2 linked regions of the Alligator mississippiensis genome follow. The protein of the gene in region 1 purifies or fractionates together with the protein of each later gene. This does not show direct contact. Links are inferred from orthologs where the notes say so. Each region holds a gene or a part of one and is shown in the gene's direction. Other genes may lie near its edges. The genes, in order: MYO1E and OSTF1.

The links.
Region 2: the proteins of MYO1E (region 1) and OSTF1 purify together in Homo sapiens (co-immunoprecipitation; 3 studies listed by BioGRID and IntAct, counting the BioPlex papers as one, with this or other methods). This does not show direct contact. The link is inferred for Alligator mississippiensis from reciprocal best matches to the Homo sapiens genes MYO1E and OSTF1.

Annotation. Positions count from the first base shown.
Region 1 is NC_081834.1:38,484,867-38,492,680, forward strand, and holds the start of MYO1E (unconventional myosin-Ie), read left to right. Parts: upstream 1-4,378; 5' UTR 4,379-4,630; coding exon 4,631-4,633; intron 4,634-7,814. UniProt on the Homo sapiens protein: Actin-based motor molecule with ATPase activity. Unconventional myosins serve in intracellular movements. Their highly divergent tails bind to membranous compartments, which are then moved relative to actin filaments.
Region 2 is NC_081826.1:197,732,339-197,740,707, forward strand, and holds the start of OSTF1 (osteoclast-stimulating factor 1), read left to right. Parts: upstream 1-4,804; 5' UTR 4,805-4,929; coding exon 4,930-4,963; intron 4,964-8,369. Other genes in the region: NMRK1 (nicotinamide riboside kinase 1), read right to left, coding at 383-473, 884-945, 2,923-2,943.

The DNA of each region.
Region 1 (7,814 bases):
GGTACAAAACAAATATAAGAACACACACTATAAAATCCATATGAGACAAATGATACACACACAGAAGCAAACACGCACATACAATAATACACATTATTCTTTAGATTTTTGTGTAGTGTTATATCCATAACAGAAGTTAATGCAGAAAGAGCGACATTTTGTTGATTTTTTAACCTTTTATCTGTTGTATATAGTTTACATATTTTCTTTGTGTGAAATACTATGCAAACCAACTTTTATCCAGTTCTAGTAAAACTGTTGCTACTGTTCTACTCAAAACTGAAGTGTGAAGCTCAATTCCTATAAATTCTTGGTCACTTATAACTCTGTCAGATATACCTTTTATATTAATAGTAGTTTGAGATCATATTTACCATCCAACCATTTTTTCAGTTAAACTATTTTTCCCCCCAGTGCTAATGTCAAATGATGGCCAGGCATCCAATACACAAGTTTAATTTGGTCAGTAATGTAAGTAGAGCTGAGTTGAGGAAATGACGGTCTGATTTTTCAAAACCAAGCATGGATCTAATTCAAGGGAGCTATTCTACTTTATCCAAACCACCAACATTTGTGGGACTAAAGGAGAAGCCAGATAAATACAGTTTAAGTTTTGTCACATTTCTATAATGAACAAACCAGGGTGGTCTGGATTTTGCAACACCTCATCAGTCAGGTTTTATGTTTGCAAACCAGGGGTGGTTCAGACCTGCTTTGCAAGCCAAGATGTCGATCCTGCAATCTGATCCATTAAAGTACATTTGTTTACCTATAGGGAACTTTGCTGACTTTTGTCTACCCCATGGAACCAATTGCAAAATCAGAACACACACCAGACACCAGGAATAGCTCAGACTAGAGTCCTACTTCATCTAGCCAACCAAATATTTGTGAAGTTGGCCTTGGATAAATTATTCCATTATGGCTAATATCTAAATGATTGTGGAACTTAATTTTATTTAATAAGGAGTATCTGGTGGAAGCTCTGTATTTCTATTGACCATTGCCTGTTTCTGTTTTTCCTATTAACCATTGTTACCCACTATTCTTAACAGTCAGAGGTTAATTTGAAAAATACTAAATTGTTTGAAATGAGTAATAGCAGTGGGCACTGCCTTTTCAAAATGGTTTGGAAGGAATGCGTTACATGACTATACAGCTAACTAATTGTTAGAATACTATTTATTTCATTATTTACATTCTGATTTAGAAGCTGCACGTGAAATCCCATTCAACATGTTACTGGGACTCCTATGCCAAAAGCACTACCTGCAGAAATACCCACAGGATGAGGACCTTTGACTGTGGATTTTTGGGGATAGAGACTGTGCATTAATGGCTAACGGGACACAAGCATTGTATTATTTTAAGGAGAACAGTGACTAACAGCGTTTTTTTCTGGCCAAACCAAAGCAATAAAGAAAATTGTTTTGAGTTGACTTGAAATGAAGACTCTTAAGTTTTCTTGCAAAACAAATATATTAAAAAAAAAGAATTAAAAGTTTGGTTTGAACAAAATGTTTCAGTTAAACCAAAACAAAATGGTTTGTTTTTTAAACTTGTTAAATGTAATTCAGGCAATTTTGAAATGAAACAACATTTTCAAATGAAGTATCAACATGTTTTACTTCTAAAATATCAAAATGAAACATTAACGTTTTTCAAAGGCTACCCCCCCCCTTTTTTTTCCCCACCAAAAATATTGAATGAACTGACACAACTTTAGAAATGGCTTTGGTCAACCCAGATGTGCCTTTTCAGGCCAGTGAAATATTTGACCAAAAACTTTCACTCAATTCTGATTTCAAGGTGCTTCATCCTCTTCTCAACTCTTATGTAAGCTTTCTGCCAGGCATGAGACAGCAGTAACAAGGACCAAGTTCAATTAAGGTTTTACACAAATGTATTATCTTGGCTTGAGCCCCCACCCAGAAACCTGGGACAGTAAATTTTGCCTGGAGTACCCCCCCACCCCAGAAACCTGAGTAAATATATTCTGCCTGGGTGTTCAAAATGAACAAACTTCCCCACTTGCAAGCAATATTAAATGATGACAGGGTTTATTGAAGGGGGAAGGAAAATGGGACAACAGACAGACTTGGAAAACTCTCAGTAATCAGTAGCCCGCCTCAATCAACTATTAACAGTTTAGCCGTCAATATATTTAGTGTACACAGAGTGAACTTGGTAGGCAGTAGAGCTAGTGCAGTGGCTAACACAAGCTCTCCCTTGCTTCACCACTGCTGGGGGGCACTGCTCCTCTGCTGCATATAGGAGGGGGGTGTCGCATAGCAGGGACAAGCTTCAACCTGCTCCACCAGTAGTCTTAGCACTTCAGAAAACAAACAGAGAACAGGTCCCACCATAAACCCATTAAACATATTTAAACATCACCAGGGTTTTTCCCTGTCCAGCTACATTGCTAAATGCAATGGCATCCCTGGCAACCCCTCCTCCCACCCCCACCCCACAAAAAAAGAAACTCCTATCCAGAACGTCTCCTTCCTCTGAGGCATGAGCAGAGGGTCCCTCCACCTTAGACATTCACACAAATCATTGTGAGCACCGACCCCTCAGCAACCTTTACCCAATTTTCTCTTATAGCATCAGTGCTCTTACAAACTTTTGTTACAGCAGTGTAGGAGTGCTATTTTGGCTGTGATGGTCCAGAAATTGCACCAGAGACAAGGATTTCTTAGGGTGATCTCTCTTAATTGGGCCAACTATGTCAGGGGTTCCCAACCTTTTTGTGCTGCGGCCCGGCAAACTGTGGACCGGAAGTGGCCGTGGACCAGCAATCTGTGGACCACCACACAGAGCCCTGCAGCTGAAATTTCCAGCTGGAACACAGGTAAAAATACTTCCACCTGCCGGGTGGGGAGGCAGGCCAAATGTCAACCATGGTTGCCATGGGCCCTGCGGGAGGAGTCGCGGCCTCTCTGCCTGGCTCTGCGGGGCTGCGGTTTGCCGGTCCGCAGTCACTTCTGGTCCAGCAGCCATCCGTCCTGCGGATCAGCAGCTGACCCTTCGCGACCACAGCCCGGGGATTGGGAACCCCTGAACTATGTCACTGGGATAAAGTGAGACAAGCTTTCCAGTGCAAGAGGTTCTTTTCTAAGAATGCCTTGTACTGGAAAGCTTGTCTCACTTTATCCCAATAACATAGCTACTCCAGTTAAAGAGATCACCCTTAGAAATCTTTGCTGCTCTTTATAAATGTTACCATTTTAGGAGGCAGGGCCAGTGTGCACACACCCAACTCCCCTGGTCTCTTTGGGTGCAGACAGAAGTGACAATTTTCACCAGATCTGTCGACAGAAAGCAGTTTATAGCTGTGACCAAACAAGCGCATGGCTACAGACAGCTTAAAAAATGGCCAATCTGGTGAAAATCTGACCCTGCATTGCACGAGTTACAGCTGGGAGCTGCACTTCTGTTTGTTAAAAGCATGTTAGCACAGTCAAAATAAGCAAAAAGCATTCCCACTTCTCTCACCGGTACATAATAATAGAGATATGCAGGTAGCTCTGGCCTGACATCTCGCTGTGGCCAGAGGAAGCTATTGAAAAAAATAAGCTTTATCAAGGTCAAATCAGTTCAAAATGCAATTGGGCAAATCCTACGAGTCAAGTTTCAAAACTCAAGTGAGCAGAGCTCAATCCTCAAGTTTGGATGGCTTTGGCGGGGCGAGCGTCCTCCCTCCCAGCCCCATCCCTCTGGGGCTTGGCTTCTCCCCAGATCCAGGCAGGTGTGCTGCCAGCCCCAGGCCCCGAGGCCTCGGGGTTCAGATGCCCCGGTCTCCTTTCATCTTAGACACCTAGGAGGTCAGGCTGCAGGCAGGCCTCGGGGGGACGCAGTGATGGTGACATGAAGAGCTGGGAGGAGCTGGCTGCCAACCCACCCCAGTGGCGCTGCCACCTCTGTTTGCGTCTTTGGCCCAGAGGGCGGAGGAGGGAAGGAGATGGTCTAGCTGGAGCTGGCCGTGCTCTGAGGGGGGCTGGACACGAGATGACCCCGGGAGGTGCCCTCCAGCCCTCCTTCCCTATTCCCCTCCGAGCCCAGCCTGCAACCCCCTCTCCCCAGCGCGACCCACAACTTCCCGGGCCGGGCCCGTGCTCCAGACCTGCCCCAGCCCCAGCCCCAGCCCCAGGGAGCGCGCGGGGACTCGCCCGCCCGCCCGGGGCCAGGGCTGCGCGCAGGGACCTGCCTCCCGGGCGGCCTCCGCGGGCGGGGGCGGCTGCAGCCCCCGGGGGCACCTGGCAGCCCGGTGCCGCCCGGGGGAGCAGCGCGGGGCCGGGCCGGGCCGGGCCGGGCCGGGACTACAAGGCCCAGCGGCCCCGGGAGCCGCTCCCGCTGCCAGGAGCTCCCTGAGGAATGACGCCGCCGCGCCCGCCCGCCCCTCGGCCGGCCCGATCTCCATTTATGGACACATCGCCCCGTGCGCGGGTCGCCGAGGTGTGCGGGGAGCGGCCGGCGCAGCCCGTTCCCGCCCCTGCTCCCGCCGCCAACAGCGCCACCGCCGCTGCCCGCATGGGGCCCGCGCCGCGCCGCTGAGCCGGCTCCGCTGCCCTGCGCCTCGCGCCCGCCGACCAGGCGACCCCCGCGCCCAGCCGCCGCCGCCGCCGCAGCCATGGTAAGTGTCCCGGGGCCGCCGGCTGACAGCGTCCCCTGGGGGCTCGGGGCAGCCCGCCGGCCGGGCCGGGGGCAGGGGCAGGGGCAGGGGCAGGGCCGAGCCGGTCCGCGCCGCGTCGCGCCGAGCCAGCGGGCACAGCCCCAGAGCAGAAGCCCGCGCTGTGCTGCCGCCTGGCTCGGGGCCGCCGGGAGGGGCCGCCGCCTCGGCCACGCAGCAGCTCCCGTAGCCGTGCGTGTGCGTGTGTGAATCCTGGAGAAGTGTGTGGCGGGGTGTGTGTCTCGTGTGTGTATCTGGGCACAGTTGCCCTCAGCCACGCAACGACTCGTGGAGAAGCGGGCGCCCAAGCCCGGGCTCCGCCGCTCCCCCGCGAGAGGGTCTGGCTGAGGGGCGCGAGCCCGCGTGTCTGCATCGTGGCGCCCGCCCGCGCGCGCGTCTTCGGGGGTGTCCCACACGTAGACATCCGCAGGCGAGGTTCTTTGGGTAAAGCCGGTGTCTTTTATGAGACCAACTCAAATAGTTGCACATTTTTTTTGCAAGCTTTTGGGCACAAAACACCCTTCGTCAGGCTGAGGAGGCATCTGCAGATTTAGACACCCCCCTTCTCCCCCCCCCACACACACACTTTTGGGGTTTATGGCTTCCCAGATTTATGATTTTGGGGCCAAACTCTTTTCTGTCCTTGGGTGTTTTTGGGGTGTGTGTCTATGTATGTGTGTGTTGGTTGGTTGGTTTTAATGAAAAGTCTGAACTTTCCCCAAAGGTCCTATTTTGCATCCCTCCAGCCTGACTGGAGAGGAACGTGCAAACACAATGTACAGTGTAATGTACAGCGCAGAGGAGATATAGCGGTGACCCTCTTTACCTGACGGGTTTAAGGATCTGTGAAAGCTGGGGCTTCCAGATTAGAAACACAGCGGGCCAGTTCATCCTTCCTGTGATTGCACGGACCCTAGCAGTGAGTGCAGCCCAGTGCACAGCTGTCCCCTCATAAAAGTGGCAAGAAGTACTGTGGTTCCTGAGGAAGGAGACTAGACTTCTCTACATGTTTACAACATTACAGTACTTTTTCAATTTTGTAACAAGTGTGGGGAAAACAACTCCATAGCCAACATGGATGTTTTATGATGACTTAGACTCTTTTTATTAAGAAACTTAAGTCCTTATGAGGCTCCTAAGTTGCATGGAATTGTTGTAACAGAGCTGGGACTTCCCTTCGGACTAGCTTTACTCAAGCAGAATGGATGGAGTTAGTCACATTTCCCTCCAATTAGCATTGCTGTTCTTGTTTTGGTTCTCTCACTGTGCGCAGCGTTGTACAGAGGCTGATCGCAGGGCTCCTGAAACAGGACTCTGTAGTCCCAGTTAGTCCTACTGAAAGGAATATTGTATTTCTTGAATGTTCACGTCGGGCTCCATCCTGCAAGGTGCTGAACATGGTCTTGATCCAACACAGTAGTTAAGCACACCACTGATTCTGTAAAGTGTGCCTGACATCACTGCATCCGAAACTGTATGTAGTCTGACTCCTTACGACCTTTTTACAAGGAATGATGATGCTTCTTGCAGCATAGGCTGTCTTGGTGGTAGTCACAGTTGCATCATATCATGCCTTTCTCTCTCCATTTAAATTTATTTTCATATCACTGTGATCAAGGCTTTTAGAACATAGCAAGACGAATTGCTCCATTTTTTTCTGTTGTCAAATCAAGTGAGAACCTAAGAGCTGACATTTTACAAGCAGGGCTCAAGCTAACAGGGTTGACAGCCACTGGACTAAGGAGATGCACCATCATCACTAATCCAGCTCTGAGCGGCATTGGAGTGGATCTGCGAGGTTTTGTTATGGGTGTAAGGTTTTGAAAATGGGTTAAAGGTTTTGAAGAAGGGGATGATAGATGGTGTGTGTGTGTGTATATTTATAGACATATTTTTACAAAAAAACCCCTAAAAGATTTAAACTGTTTTGTTTTATGTGGTATACTTTTTTACTATATTGAACCACACTGAGTGGCAGGCATTAATTATGGAAGGGGGGTGTGTGTTCTTGCCATGAATTATAATAACATCTTTCATAATAATTTCAACCACCTAACATGACACAGTAGTTGAGGACTGAAATGAAAAAAAGAAATCCTGATAGAATGGACCAAATCTCATGGCCCCCCCCCCCAAATTAGCTAATTGCAAAAAGCTTGCCTGTGAAATTCAGTTTGAAAAAATGTATCAGTTATGAATCTGAGCATGCGCCTGTTAAAACTTGAGTTTATTCTAGAAGTCTTAATTTACTATTGTCCTGTTTTATACTACATGAATTCATGAGCTTTTTAAGAAGCTATGTGGCCAGAAAGCAGCAGAGATGCCCAATGCAAGTCTTTACTATAGTACTGAATTGAATAAGTTATTCAGCTTCTAGTAGCCACCTGCAGTTCACTTAGTATTGATTTAGTGTAAGTAAATATGTTCTGGAACAGCATAATATGAAGCTTACACTACTTGTCTCATAATAGTTGGAGACATGTTTTCATAAGGATTTGTGAAAGCTCTTTTCATCAGAGTACGGGTTTTAACCATAACTTTGAACATTATGTTACTTTTGTAAGAAATATGTTATCATTATTGTGTCTTTCATTTTCAGTAGCTATTAATGCTTTCTTTGTTAGAGTTAATTTTTTGAATATTATTTTAGTAGCTTTATTAATTTTGATGACAGAGCCTTGACATTTTATATAACACAGGAAGGGTTTCATAGAGTTTAGATGTCTTACATTGAAAAATTAAAGTTTACAACAGCTGAACATGTTAAATATTTCAAACAAACTTTTACAGATTAATTAAAACTTTGTAGTGAAAGTTTATTTCAATTAGAGGATCTGACAATTTGAAAGAGTGTGTTACTTGTACTTTTAACATATATTATTCTTCATAACTTTATGGAGTTTAAGGCTAGAATAAGCTATTAGGTCAGGTAAACTGACCTCTATCACAGACTATTACATTTCATTCAGTTACCCCTATATTAAGCACAAAAAAAGAGACAAAAGCATTTCAGTCCTTGGGGGGATTAAACTCACACAGGGAAAGGGCAGGAGAAATGGAAATGCCACCCATGCTCAAGGCCCTTGCAGGGGCAGGGAACTGATATGGTAAATATGCCCCTATGATCCCAATAGGTGAATTGGGA
Region 2 (8,369 bases), on another chromosome or scaffold:
AAACATAGCATTTTAGACCTTAGTATGATCTAAGGGTAATGTGTAACTTCATTCCTGGATGCCATTTTTGTTTGTAATTGTTTTCTATCTAAAGTTACGCATAAATGCAAAAAAACCCCAAACAGAACCGAATTACCAGGAAGCAGTTTAAAAAATTCATATACTCTATTCCTATTCCTGATCTTGAAACAGACCAAAGAATACAGTCAGATTGTTTCTCTCTTGGTCACACAGCAAATCGATTCTGGCAACTGAAGCATCCCAGCAGTATTACAGTGCAGTTGATTTACCACTCTAACTTACAAATCCTATTAATAGTTTTGCAGCAACTACATTTTCAAGTCTATTTTTATGCACAAAGTCTTTCTGTATATGCTGTTACCTTAAAGAAGTCATCTTGGTAGATTATACTGCAATTTGGAAGCAGTTTCTTAAGCTTTTCTGCCAGTGTTGTTTTCCCCCCATTTGTCACACTGAGTTAAAGAACAGAATAAAGGCTATGTCAGGACAGAAAAAAAAAATCAGGAACAAAGCATGCATCAAAAATAAAGCCACTGCCAAAACGTAATTTTATTCACAATGCTGATCATGCCTGCATGGCTCCCAGTCATTTGTCTGGATATTCTGACAGCTTTCAACCAATGTGCAAGAGAATGGCATAGGGAAGATCAGAGCTGATGTCCCAAAGGGTTGATTTATGATGGAGGTAGGGACAAGATGCAAAAAAATTGCATGCAATACTAGTGACAAGTGTTAAGATCATACTTTTAATTCCTTCTCTGATAACAACATATTCATATACAGACAGGCACTTGTAGACTTCATCTCGAAGCTTGAAGAAATCTCACATTTTTGCTTTAGAATTTAAACTTTTTGTACTTACCCTCCAAGGCCAACAACCAGTTTCATAATTAGTATTCTATCCACTTCCTTTCTTCCAACCGTCTAAAACAAGAACAGTCAGTGAACACACCTACTTTGGCAATGATAAAAGCAATTGCTACAAGGGGAAAAAGCAATTAATGTAAAAGGCCCTTTTATCTTTTTAAACTCTACCACTGCTACACACACATCTTCAGAACTTCCAATGTCTTAACTGAAAAAAAAAAAAAATCAAATTACAGTGCATTACATCATATATACCGTTTTTGACAACCTTTTTTCCTTTTACTTATTTATAGTCCTATAAGACTCAGACCTACAACTCCTTCCTGCTGCTTAGCTCAATAAGTTTTTGTAAGATCAAGCCCTTAGAAGTAAATTACAAGAGCAGAGAAATGGGTTACTGTCTTGTTTTATATAGGTAAAAAGACTGAGTTCCTCATTTCTCCCCACAGACTTATTTTGTAGTATCAGACACGTCACTTTTCTGTTCCCCAGTTCTCCCGATTGGTAAAATAAAATCCTATCTACTCATTTCAAGATCTGGAGACTGACACTGAGCTGAGACAGTACCTATTAACTTTGTAATTGGAGTTCAACATTTCTGAAAATAAATACATCTATGTTTGCTAAGACCTTTAAGAATCTCAGACAGCATTATAAATGTTTAAAGGATTAATATTTTCAATTGAGAGAAAAGGCAACATTGCTTTAAGAGGAGGCAGACAGATGTACATGGTGGTTGTCTGGCCTATCCAAATGCAAATATTTTCAAATAAATATGAGTTCTGGACTTTGTTCTAAAGAATTAACCTTTGTTGCACAAAAAAGCATTAACCGACAAATTAGGTAACACTGATACATACTGTGAAGGGTTTTGAACTCTCTAATTTACGTCACTGTCCATCTCCAGTGTAATCGTAGCTTAAGAAAAATTCCAGAATAAACAAAAAGAAGAAACAAACAGCTTGTGGAGCCACATGGGTGGATGGCAGTATTACACCATAGAATTTCAGTATAACAAGGCTCAGGTTGGCTTGTGTAAGTAAGACCAAAACTTGTTTATAGTCATATTATAGACCTGTAACAGGTATGTAGAGCTCAAGTCTGCACATGATCTAGTAATAATTCTACAACATAGTTATGGCCAGATCACATTATCTCTACACAGAGTAGACCAAACTAGTTTAATAAAACAATCACTCTAAGATGCTTTCGCATGTGTAGATGGCAGCAGTAATGCAATCAGATGCTGTGGCCTGAAACAGTAAGTTTGATACTTGTGCTACAGTGCAGACCACATCAACCACATCTCACTGGAGTCAAATTCTGAAACGCTTTGCATTAGAACATTTTTACATGCTAAATTACAAGCACACACTGAAAACAAACTTAAAAATAATTTTAAAATATTTAAATTTAATTATAGATCTAAGATTTGGGGATGAATTTTGAAGTGGGGTGCCAGGTGTTGGGAAGGGTAATATATTTTTTGGTTCATCTTTGAAAGCAAAAAGTCTTTACAGTATTTTCTATTTTTTTCCAATAGGATAGTGATAATTTTGGACACACCACAACACAAAAGTGCTTGGTCTAGATACAGAATAAACTGTGCCATGCTTCTTCAAATGGCCTGAAGACAAAACACAGCCATATGACCAACTAAATAAAAATACACCCCCTTTTGGACAATGTTAGGCAGCGCTCCTGCACTCTGATGCACAGGGTGGACCCATGTGATTGCATTACTAAACTCAATTAACCCCATGCAGGGGTATATCCATGCATGGCATTTTTCAGGATCATGGACCTATTTGGCATCTACTCAAGTGCTGCACATCTAAATAAAGTACCTCCAGTACCAGGGGTCCTGGGGTTTTAAATGCTTGCTATACAAATTCTAAAGTAAATTTAGTTATAAGGGTCTTCACATAGGCAATTCTTCTTACACACATATACACACGCACAACTGGAGACCGGTAAAAGGCAACAGGCCAGTGAAGACACTGACATTTAAAGGTATGCTCAGAGCCAGCTTACCACAAGTTGTGAGTCTTGCATGACCCCAAGAACAAGACAGACAATGCTAACCACAGCCAGCCCTGTGGGTACAGTTACACGACATGTTACACTTCAACAGTACTAAAGGCACTTAAAGCCTCTGCGCATTAAAGCTTGTTAGTGCCCTCAATGTTACACCACTTCAGAAGAGGATTAACCCTGGGCTGTGCTACCTAGATTGTGTCAGGGTAACTCCCATCTGATCCACAGAGATAAAATGAGCAATTTTGCAGTCCTCCAACATCCCAGAATGCACTGCTCCCTACCGCCAGCAAGGGACAAAGCCCAGGTGGCCTGGCTCTTAGCCACACCCCTGCTCGCCTGCCCTCTGGTGGCATATCCTAGCTGCACAGGCAACAAATGACGTTAACTCTCAACAGGAGACAGCTCACGGCACCTTCTAGGTGTTCCCCACCTAACATCCCAAAAGTGCCATAGGGTCCAAGGGCCAGGCCACCTGGATCAGTGGGTCTCAACTTTTTTTGTACCAGGACCCATTTGTAAAAATCAATGTCCAGTCCTGACCCAGTGCCCCTCACTCTGGACCTGCCGCCCCCTCATGTGGGGCAGGAGGCGGGGTGGTTTGTAGGTTGTGGGAAGCCCCAAGCAGCCCCTTGCACGCTGGAACTCTGCCAGCCTCCAAGGGGAAAACCCAGAGTTTCCTAGGTTTTTCTCCTTTAAAGGAGAACCCATTTTTAAAGTCGGCTTGCGACCATTTCATATATTCTTGCAACCCACTTTTTAATTTTTTTGTGGAAGATTTTTAATGTTCTAGGCCAGATCAGTTCTGACTCCTTTTGACTGAGCAAAACTCATAGTTTAAACACCATATGTGGCACAGCAACCAGCATTTATCCTCCACCCGACTTCACAGCCTAGGGCTTCAGATACTTCCAAATCCAAATCCAAATCCATTGGTAGGCGACCTATGTGCAGACCCAAGCCCAGAGGCTTGGGGTTCAGATGCCCCCCCAAGCCTCGCTTGCATGCATTAGAAAGCTAGGGAGAGGTGCCCCAATTCCATAAAGTAGGTGCATAGCCGAGGTCGTCCTGCTGGAAACTGGCCAGTTGGAAGCCAATTACAAGGTGTCCTGTCCACAGTGCATTTGGACAAGGGTGCCCCCTCCGCCACACAATGCCCTTTATTTAAATCCATTTCAGCTCCGGTACCGCACCAGTGCAGCGAGTACACTTGATCTTAACCACCAAGAAGGTCGCGCCCCACGGGTTGGGAAACGCCGCCCTGGCTGATACCCTCCCGCGGAGGCCGGCAGCTTTCCATCAGGTTCCAGGGTCCCGGATCTGGACAGCGCTGCACACAGGCTCAGCTCCCCCCTCCCCTCCTGCTGCCCACCCGCCAGCCCCTCACGCCCAGCGTGGGCAAGCACCCACCGCTCAACGCGGGGCAGCTCCACCAGGCGCCAGGCGGCCTCCCCCGCGATGCCCCACACAGTCCCCGGGGCCCGCCTGCAGCCTTGCACGGAATCACCCTCCCGCGCTGCGTCAGGAACCCACCGCCCCGATTGTAACGCAGCGCTGCAGAGCTCCACCCCCGCCCCATTTCCATTGTGACGCACACAATTGAATCCCACCCCCACTAAGACACTACGCCACACTGCCCTCCCCCTACTGCGGCCGGAGCCCCAGCCCCACCCCCACTCCCTGACGTGTAAGACCTGGTCCCGCCCACTGGTGAAGGGAGGGGGGAGAAGAGGAGCAAGGGGGCGAGGCCTCCGTGACCCCGCCCACCCTGTAGCCATTGGCTACGTTCGTCCTCCGCCCCGGCGGGGATTGGCTGCTGCCTTCCCTCCCTGGCTTCCCGGTCCCCGCTTGCAGCGCCCCACGGCCGCCTGCAGGTGGAGCCCGCGCGCGGGGTCGCCGAGCCTCGCACTTCCTCGTCGCTGCCGCCCAAAGGGAGCCCAGCGCCCCGCGCCCCTTCGCGCAGCGCTAGCAGCACCGCCGGGTGGGGCGGCCAGAGTCGCAGCCATGTCCAAGCCGCCGCCGAAACCGGCCAAGCCAGGTAGGGGTAGGGCAGAGCCGCAATGACACGTGGGCACCCGCGGGAGGGGGATCCCGGCGGCCGTGACCGCTCCGGGTTGACCCCCCCAGTCTCTGCCTCCACCTGAATGACACTGGGGTTAAACCGGGGAGCCGCTGCTAAGGCAGCCACTAACCCTTGCCCTGCAGAAACGAGAGCCGGGTGGGGGTGGGGCTGTGGCAAACGCAGGGGCAGAAGGCAGGAGCTGGCAGGAGTAGAAAAGAGCTGCTACCTAGCCCTCCTGCACCCGCTTCAGAGGCTGGAGGTGAAGGTGCAAGAAACCACCCTATGCTGAGGCCTGGCCCAGTGAGGGGCTGCCTAGTGGCTTTGACTTACTGCTTCCTGGAAGGCAGCAGCCAATGTCCTTCTCCCCATTTTACAGGTGGGGAAAATGGAGGCAGCAGCTGCCTAGTACGGACCAATGCAGCCCAGGCTGCGGGAGTCAGAGTCTAGGACTCTGATGCCTACGTAATGCTGCCCTCCCACAGATAGAGCTAGGCCTGCTCCCTAACCTATCCTCTCACGCCACACAAAATGTTACCCAGGAGAATATATTGGAAGCATTTTTATAGAAGCAGGAAGGTTGCGCCAGCGTTCCCACTAAGCTGCAAACAAAATATATATATTTATATAAAAAAATAAAAAATCATGCTGTGCACACAGTGGCGTACCGATGAGGCACCCAGTGCCATAGCAAGGGGGCACCAACACTCCCCCTGTTGCTGGCTTCGTGTCTGGCCACTCGCCCCCCGCCCTAACCCGGCCACAGGCTACTGTAGGAGGGAGGTGGGGCAGGCACACTGAAGGAACAGTGGTGGCGTGAATGGTTCCCCTGCTTTACATGTGGCAGGTGAAGGGGTTAGGTCTGTGTTGTGGCAAGGTTGAAAGTCATGCAGAAGTTAGATGTTGAACTGTACAGGTTTGGATAGGGATGATCCTGCCTCAGGCAGGGGGTTGGGCTAGATCAGGGGCGGGCACCTTATTTCAGGTGGAGGGCTACTTACCCAGTTTTGGCAAGATGTTGAGGGCCCCATTTCTCTCTCCGGCACAAGGAAGCAGGAACAGCCCCACAGTCCCAGGCCAGAAGCCTCTGCTAGACAGGGGCTTCTGGTTGGGGGGGTAGAGCTAGGTGGGTCTTGCTGCTGCATCCCACTGCTGGCTTCCCCTGGGTCCTACTGCCCCTGGACCTTGATATCTTTGACAAGCAGCCAGGAGCAAACGTATATTAAATTTTCTAGGGGGCCCACGGGCCAGATAGAATGGGCTGGCAAGCTGGATGCTCCCGCACTGTATTTTGCCCACCCCTGGACTCAATGATCTCTAGGAGTCCCGACTTCTCTATAATTCTATGAAGCATAAGGCTTCTGTCTTTCCTAGTAACTACCAGGTTGTTGAGTGTGTTATACGGCTTCTTTTTGAGGCCAGGAAAGTTGCTGGTCCAGTTGCACTGAGTTCTCTCTTCTCTGCTTTTTCAGAGCATTTCTTTTGATCTTTTAAAATTCTTTTCTGTCCTTTTTTTTGTCCAACATGCGCTTGTTCTTGTGTTAGGAGATGGAGAATGGGGATGGTTCTGCTTTGAGCAGGGGGTTGGATTAGGTGACTGCCCGAGGTCCCTTCCAACCCTCATTTTCTATGATTCTAATGGAAACTTCTCCCATTCACCTCAGTGGGAAGATGGATCAGGAGGTAGTCCTGCAGTTGCTACAAAAATTGAGCATAAACACCTAAGCAAGGACTAATTTTATGAATATTCATTTGCAGCATGTCTTTTAATGTGCTCTCTGCTAAAGCATAGAGATGCACAAATAGGGCATGCAAAACATACTTGGATTTGCCCTCTGATATCAAACAATAGCAGTATTTTTATGTATAAGCAAGCTTTATTCACAAATTTCCAGGTTTTCTACTTTCATTCTTTCCTCCATGCCCCCTTGTAGCTCTCCAGCCAGAAGTGCCCCATGCCTCCCACATCTTTTTTTATTTACGTTTTGTTGCTTAAATGCACACACTCACCGAAGCTTCCCCAGCACCTCTCAGGCTTCCCTGCCCCTTTGAACACCGTACATGACCCTAGTTTCCCTTGCATCTATGGAGGATTAGTTCAACATTTATTTAGTGCAACAAAATTAACAGAATTGAAAGCAATAGCTAGATAGAGAGACTTTAAAAATAGAGTGCTCCATCAGTAGAGTCTGAAGAAAAACATTTCCTTATCCGAAAGCTGTAGAAAGAACTACCCTGTGTCAGAGAGGCAGTTTCCCAGGCTCTTTAAAGGATAGTTTAGCCTGGGTGTAAAAAAGAGGCAAAGCAAGGAGGAGCAGGCCAGTGGATGCAGCAGCTACTTTTTTTTTGTTGTTGTTGTTGTTAGGGGCACATACCCATTTAGAACAATAAAAGTTTGTACCTATTTTTTTGTGCAGAGGGGGAGACGTTGTGGGCTTCTGTGAAATAAATCATAGTATATAGCAATGGGGGCCAAACTCCTGGCAGGCATACTACCAATTAGTCCCTCATCATCCCTGAGCCTCCAATCCCTTTATCATGCCCAATCTGCTGCACTGCTTTTTGCTCCGTTCCTGTGCGGCCTGTTCTCTTTCCCGCCCTGCCGCATAGCACGGAGAGACTGCTTGTGCAGCCATTTTTCACTGTCTACTTTGTAACTTAATTATAGTCTGATTAATTATCCACTAACTGTATTTGTCCACATTGTAACCAGCTGCGCCAGAGCAATGAAAAAGGAAACCACTGTCAAAGTGCAGCTAGTACAAACCTTGAAAATGAAAGGAACTAGTCAGTTTTGGGGCTGCTAATACCACAGTAGTGACAGGGCTGTGCACTTGAGAAGTATAGAAGTATTGCTTATATTAAAAGATCAAGTGAATGCATACCCTCTTTTCACTTCAGAGACTATGCACTTAAAACAGACAATGTTGTATGTCTAAGCTTTGCTGGAGTGTAGAGAAATCCAGTCAAACTTGGATTTCCCAGGTACCTGAAGCAGTCTATCCACAGTAAGCTAGCTCATGTAGAACTAGCTCACGGTCACAGTGTAACCGTATTCATTATAACTTTCAGTTTTAACAACTAAAGACAAAGCCTAAAATGCAGCCTACACACAAGATTTTTGGTGTAGCTGCTTGGGCAGCTATATATGCTGTTAACAACATAGGGATTCAACCTCTTATCTACATGCAAAACCCAACTTTAGTGTCAGTTATGGTGATGTGAGCAGTACTTTTCTAAAACGCTTGCTGTGCGGTCTCTAAAATATTTTCAAGCTCGACATCTTGTTCTCTTACTGTATTTGTTGAACTATTTAAAGTACCTATATGATGTATTGACTCAATTACCATTTTAAGTAACTTTGTTTGATTTGAAGCAAATATAG